Kluyveromyces lactis: one gene and its partner. The protein of the gene in region 2 interacts with the protein of the main gene of each other region in a pairwise test. Links are inferred from orthologs where the notes say so. Each region holds a gene or a part of one and is shown on either strand. Other genes may lie near its edges.

What was found.
Region 1: the proteins of FRS1 (region 2) and FRS2 interact in binary tests that used the Saccharomyces cerevisiae proteins (3 or more experiments, as listed by UniProt). The link is inferred for Kluyveromyces lactis from reciprocal best matches to the Saccharomyces cerevisiae genes FRS1 and FRS2.

The regions. Positions count from the first base shown.
Region 1 is NC_006042.1:2,348,580-2,352,113, reverse strand, and holds FRS2 (phenylalanine--tRNA ligase subunit alpha), read left to right. Parts: upstream 1-1,422; coding exon 1,423-2,922; downstream 2,923-3,534. Other genes in the region: FCF2 (Fcf2p), read right to left, coding at 1-69; IES3 (Ies3p), read left to right, coding at 512-1,105; OSW2 (Osw2p), read right to left, coding at 2,992-3,534.
Region 2 is NC_006040.1:440,226-444,133, forward strand, and holds FRS1 (phenylalanine--tRNA ligase subunit beta), read left to right. Parts: upstream 1-1,601; coding exon 1,602-3,389; downstream 3,390-3,908. Other genes in the region: RPS26A (40S ribosomal protein eS26), read left to right, coding at 657-1,016; MIL1 (Mil1p), read right to left, coding at 3,502-3,908.

The sequences.
Region 1 (3,534 bases), on a different chromosome or scaffold from region 2:
GCTCTGTTTCTCTTCCGCCACTACTCGCTTCAAATCGGCGAAAAGTTCATCTACATTAAGGCTGTCCATGTTTGTTTGGGTTTTAGTGTCCTTGAGGGTCTTTAGCTTATCAAAGGACGCACTCTAAATGGTTTTTATCACACTCTTTCTATCACCTCGTTAAGGCGATGAGCTGGGAGCTATGTAACTATTTTTTTTTTTTACCTTCTGAGCTTCGGATGTTTTGATGCACTTTCGTCGTAGAAAAGAAAGCAACGGTCACGTGCGGGATGAAAGATTCTCCATCTAATACTTATTCTTTAACATCGGTTCAGAAAGATCAAATAAATTGTACTCTCCACAGCTCCCCTTTCAACTAAAACAATATTTATCTTTTAGCGTCTTCTTTGTCTCTACAATATAGTCTCAAACTAAGAAGTCATATGCATCTTTACATACTTCCAAAATCAACAACAAAAAAGAGCAGTAAAGAAAACTCCACACACACACAAACACAAATAAGCCACCGAGGATGACTGTAACGGCTCTGACAGCAGAACAGATAATTAACAAAAAGAGATCCATGGAAGACCTTAAGAATATACAAGTACAAAGAAGTAAACGAGCCATTGCTCGTTATAAGAACGCTCCTCTACACACATCTGCTGACGAGGATCGCAAATCTGGGAACAAAAGACATATAGTAGCCATTGATGACTCGTTAAAGATAAACTATGAGGTGATTCGTCATATTCCAGGTCAGCTAGCTCAGCGAGAAGAAATTGAAGATTTAAACAGGCTTAAGTTGATCCAATATAAGGATTCACTCAATAAGATGCACGAAGACTATATCGATATATGGAAAAGAGAAGACCCAGCTTTGGAAAACGTGGACTATGCACAGTTAGATGAGTCCACACTGCTGGAAGAGAAGAAATGGCTCACAGAACTAAATGATAAACTTAAGAAGGATTATACAGAAGCTGTTCAACTTGAGAAGAAATGGTTTCTCTTAAAAGAGATCATGCTAGAAGCTTGCACAAGGCTAGATCTTTGTGCCGAATCAAACCCGCTTCTCAATAAAAACCAAATCACCCTGGATGAATCAAAGGGTACACTACTGTAATTATAATGAAGCTATATGTACGTAACATTACATTACAATATAGGAATGCAAACTGACTCACGTGATATCATTTTGAACGTCTGTCACTACTACAGGTCTTTTTCACTCTAGTGAAAAATTTAATTGTACAGAACAAAAATCAGATTCTGTTCGAACATCAAATACAACAAACTTGATGGGCACGTCAAAGCTTGACTCGTCTAAGGCAGATTCTGGCATAACGTTGTCGTGGTAATTCAGCGTAAACGTTTGATACAGTAGTGATTCTGTATTAAAGATATCATCCGTTACCATATTCAATTAATACTCATTGCACGATGTCTGATATTCAATTGGAAATTTTACAGAAAGTCGAAAAGTTGGGTCAAATTGACTCAACCTCTGAGCTGTACCCCAGTATCGATTCTCAAACCATGGCTGCTTATTTGAATTCTTTGAAATCCCATGAAAAGATCGATTTCTCAAAGAAAGATACCATTTTCTACAGTTTAACTAAAGAAGGTAATGCGATCGTGGCCGATGGTTCTCATGAAGTGAAACTCTTGAAATTGATTGATCAGTTTGGAAAATTGCAAATCAAAGATGTTGCCAGTCATCTAGGCGCCGACGGGAAGGTTGGTCAAGCTAGAGCCTTCAAGAACGGATGGATTGTAAAGACACCAGAAAATGAATTGAAAGTTAGTGACAAAATTGCAGATGTCTCCCAAGTGAAAGATCAAACCAAGGAACAATTGGAAAAGATTAAGAATAACGAACTTTCTGGTATCAGTGATAAAGAAGTTGCTGATCTAAAGAAGAGAAAGTTAATCACCCCAAGAAAGGAAACTACATTCAGCGTTGTCAAGGGCAAGGAATTCTCTACCGATTTGACTAAGCTGGAGACTGAGATTACCGCTGAAATGGTAGCCACAGGTTCATATAAGGATCTAAGGTTCAAAGAGTTCAATTTCAACTCTCAAGGTATCGATCCACAATCCGGTGCTCTGCATCCTTTGAACAAGGTCAGAGAGGAATTCAGACAAATTTTCTTCTCTATGGGTTTCACTGAAATGCCATCAAACCAATACGTAGAATCAGGATTCTGGAACTTTGACACATTATACGTTCCACAACAACATCCAGCTCGTGATTTGCAAGATACATTTTACTTGAAGGACCCAATCAAATGCGATATGCCAGATGATAGAGAATATATCGCCAACATCAAAGCTGTACACGAGAATGGTAAATTTGATTCGATTGGTTACCGTTACAACTGGAAGGAGGAAGAGTGCCAAAGATTGGTTCTTAGAACACATACTACAGCAATATCTGCTGCTATGCTTCATAAGTTGGCCAAAGATCCAAAACCAACCAGATTATTCTCGATAGACCGTGTCTTCCGTAATGAAGCTGTTGACGCTACACATTTAGCCGAATTCCACCAAGTTGAAGGTGTTTTAGCTGATTACAATATAACGTTGGGTGACTTAATCCAATTCATGGAAGACTTCTTCGCTAAGATGGGTGTTACGGGGTTGCGTTTCAAACCAACCTATAACCCATACACGGAACCTTCATTGGAAATTTATTCATGGCATGAAGGGTTAGGCAAATGGGTTGAGATTGGTAACTCCGGTATGTTCAGACCAGAAATGTTGGAATCCATGGGCCTTCCAAAGGATATGAGAGTTCTGGGTTGGGGTTTGTCTTTAGAGAGACCTACAATGATTAAATACAAGGTTCAAAATATTAGAGAGCTTTTGGGTCACAAGGTTTCTTTGGATTTCATTGAATCGAACCCTGCCGCTAGGTTAGATGAAGATTTGTATGAATGATTTTCCTTGATTGTTCTAAATTGCTTTTGGTAGTTTATAAAATCTATATATGCGCTTCATATCTTCAAATCACCTGTCAGATAGTAATCTATACAGACTACCTTTCCGTTGTTTCCAATGCTCAAATATGTTGTCACTAAAATCCAAATCTCCATATCGATTAGTAGTAGTGGAAAGATGTACTTGTGATTTTGTTAATGTTTCGCAATGAAACCTAAGAATGTCTTCCTGGCTGGTAATAGGTCGAGCTAGTTGCCCATTATTTATGTGTTGCTGCTTGATCAGCTTCCAGTATTGTCCAGCTAGCGATTGATGTCTTATCGCACCATTATTTTTGAGTTCATCCTTTGTGGCTCGTAGCATTTGCTTCGGTAAGTCTGCATAACCATTACGAAGCTGCCATTCCAAATCTGTCATTTCCAATCTACCGGTTGTCATGGGTCTCTGTACAGCACCTTTGAAACCTTTAAATAAAGGCAATTTTAAGCTAGGGTCAATATTGTCGTCTTCATGCATATTTGAGTTTGCCGATACCCTTATTAAACTCCTTTGAGATAACATCCTTTCTCTGCGGGGATGAACTGAAATTGATTCATCCGAGTCCACGTCTGA
Region 2 (3,908 bases):
AATTTAAAGATAAGTTTTGTAATATATTAGAGAACTGTTTATTAGAGAGAGAGACTTTTGATATTACAGCTTAGCTATTTTGTTTGCTTTTGTGATAACACAGCCTAACCAAGACTAGTATATTCAAGTATGTTACCTATATCGTGGGCTGAATGATACGTGTGTGAGAAAGATCAAATGAGATAAGGATAGAATTGCAATTAATAGGAAACCAACAGAAACCTAAGCCTGAGGACCCAGAATGAATTGTATCTCCTGAATGGAAATCCGATGATCTATTACAGAGAGCGAAGCGACATGGAGGGGAGAGAGAGGCTAATTAAATTTACAGACAATACTTCTTCGGAGCCAGTATGAATATCAAAAAGATGATAATTCAACCTAGACAATGGAAGGGAAAGTGAGATAAATAACGGCCCATGAGCTTTAGTATCGGACCATCCTACAGTCCATGTTAGCATATGAGGATGGTCTGATTTTCCACGATTATAAAGAAATGGAAAGATTTAGACAATACAACTTAACTTATCACTCTCACATACGAGGATTATTATTCGAATATTAATTTACTAACATAAATTGTTATGATAATAATTTGTAAACGCACACTGTTGTCGTTGTACCAGATTATTATACATTGAATAAACTTTTACAGAATGCCAAAGAAGAGAGCTTCCAACGGTAGAAACAAGAAGGGTAGAGGTCACGTCAAGCCTGTCAGATGTGTCAACTGTTCCAGATCTGTTCCAAAGGACAAGGCCATCAAGAGAATGGCTATCAGAAACATCGTTGAAGCTGCTGCTATCAGAGATTTGTCTGAAGCCTCTGTCTACGCTGAATATGCTCTTCCAAAGACCTACAACAAGTTGCACTACTGTATTTCTTGCGCTATCCACGCTAGAATTGTTAGAGTCAGATCCAGAACTGACAGAAGAATCAGAGCTCCTCCACAAAGACCAAGATTCAACAGAGACAACAAGGTTTCTCCAGCTGATGCCGCTAAGAAAGCTTTGTAAATCTAACCTTAAACAATAGCAAGTCATTTAAATGAAGATATGAATTTATCTTTTTATTATCATCAAAATGTATTCTTTTCTCTATGTTTAATGTTTAGATCTGTATAGTTTTATATCAATAACTAAAACGCACCCAAATAACTTCAAGAAAGTCAGTTTTAGCCTTAGTTGTGCTTGTTAGGATGCAGTATGCACTAGACCATCTGAGACCAATCTTTATTAGAAGAGCACCTAAAGCCATTTGGTTAAGCGGTGCCTTTGCTGGTCAATGGTAACGAGAATATCATAATACACGATTTGATCTGTTCAATTTTTCATGTATTACTGAAAATTGTTTTAAAGAGTAATTACGATCTCGAATGATGCTAAACCATGTGTTAACTTTCAATATAAGGTTACGTTCGTTTTATCCTTTTAAAATTAGAATCCACTGATCATTAATTGGCTGTCGTTATTTAACGGTTTCAGGCGACATATTTCCTACCAGATATATCCATTTTCAGCGTACTTTTATCTTCTTTTTGCTGGGGCATTTTATAGAAAATTCAGCTATTATTGTTAACTTTGTGATTCCTGATTAACAACATGCCTACCATTTCAGTTAACAAGAGGCAATTGTTTGAGGCCTTGGGCAAAAACTACACCAATGAAGAATTCGATGAATTATGTTTTGAATTTGGTGTTGAATTAGATGAAGATACCACTGAAGAAGCTTTGAAGACAGGCGAGGAACCAGAATTGAAAATTGAAATCGGTGCCAACCGTTACGATTTACTGTGTATCGAAGGTATCGCTCAATCTTTGAATGAATTTTTGGGTAACGTTGAAGCTCCAGAGTATAAGTTGAGCAAACCAACTACCAAGTTAATCATTGAAGAATCTACAACTCAAATTAGAAGTTACGCTTGTGCTGCCATCTTAAGAAATGTTACATTCACCGAAGCCAACTATGCATCGTTCATTTCTCTTCAAGATAAGTTACACTCAAACTTGTGTAGAAACAGAACTTTAGTTGCCATTGGTACACACGATTTGGATACCATTAAAGGTCCTTTCCACTACAGAGCTGAAAAGCCAACTGACATCAAGTTTGTGCCCTTAAATCAAAGTAAGGAATACGATGGTGCAGAGTTAATCGAATTGTACAAACAACCAGAACAAAAGAACAACTTGGGCCGTTTCGTTCACATTATCGAAGATTCCCCTGTTTTTCCTGTCATCTACGATGACAATAATGTCGTTTGTTCTCTGCCTCCTTTGATTAACTCTGAACACTCTAAAATTTCTCTGAACACCAAGAATATTTTTATCGAAGTTACTGCAACCGATAGAACCAAGTCCGAAGTTGTCTTGGACCAAATCGTTGCTATGTTCTCCCGTTATTGTGAAGACCAATTCACCGTGGAGCCAGTGGAAATTGTTTCTGAACACAACAATCAATCTAGAGTAACCCCAAATTTCACTCCAAAAATTATGGACGTCAAGGTCGATTACATCAATTCTTGTCTAGGCCTAACCTTATCCCCAGAAGAGATCTCAAAGAACTTGAAAAAGATGTCGTTGAAAGCTACACCTTCCTCTGACGACCAAAACATCTTACATGTTGAAATTCCAATTACGAGATCTGATATTTTACATCCTTGTGATATCATGGAAGACGCTGCTATCGGTTACGGTTACAACAACTTACCAAAAGGCAATCAATTGTCTAATGCTAACTTCGTTGCATCTGCGTTACCTATCAACAAAATTTCAGACATTCTAAGGATTGCTTCCTCTCAGGCTTCATGGTTGGAAGTTTTGCCATTGACCTTATGCTCTCATGATGAAAACTTTAAATTCCTAAGGATGGAAGATGATAACACAAAGGCTGTAAAATTAGCTAACCCAAAGACTTTGGAATACCAAGTTGTCAGAACTAGTTTATTGCCAGGTATTCTAAAAACTGTTAAGGAAAATAGAAAGCACTCTTTACCTATCAAAGTTTTTGAAGCCGGTGATGTTGTTTTCAAGAATGATAAACTAGAAAGAAGAGCATTCAACCAACGTCATTGGGCCGCCGCTTATGTCGGAAAAACTGCCTCATTTGAAATTATTCAAGGTTTACTAGGGAAAATTATGCAGACTTTCAGAACTCAATGGCTACCTGATTATGGTGCGGGATCCACTGGCAGAGGTTACTGGATTGAAAAAGATGATACCCTCACTACCTACTTCCCGGGTAGAGGTGCAAAGATCATGTTCAGACACAAAGAAGGAGAAGAAGCTAGGCAGATCGGTCATATTGGTGTTTTACATCCTGAAGTAATGTCCAACTTCGACATTCCATATGCCGGTTCTTACGTTGAAATCAATTCAGAAGCTTTCTTATAGATAGGTAGAGATAATACTTGCACTCTCATGTATTAATTCTATAAAATTTTGATATAAGTGTATATATACTTACCACTGCAATATTTTCATCACGCAAAAGTCAGTTGGACTTCTACTTCTCGACAATGTCTCGAGACGAGTGATCAATATCCTTCTGTACCTCGTCCTTGAGTTTTGAAATCTCTTGGATAAGTTGGTCTTTGTGCACATCCGTAGCTATGCCTTCTTCGGTATCCCCATTCACTTCTGGCCCTAATGTCTTGTCCTTTAGAGTCTGTTCATACATTTCTTGCCATTCAACTTTCTGAGGTTTGAACCAAGAAGATTTAGATAACCATTTGTGCTTTCTCTTTTTCTTACCATGGGATTCATCAGAAAGTTTCTCCTGGGCAGATTCTAATTCAGCAACAAGTTTCCTCTGTCTAGCAACTTGTTCCGGATCCATTGGGTCTTCAATTTCTACGAACTCTTCACTGAGTACAGACATACCAATGGCTTTAAGAAGTTTAGGCATTTTCT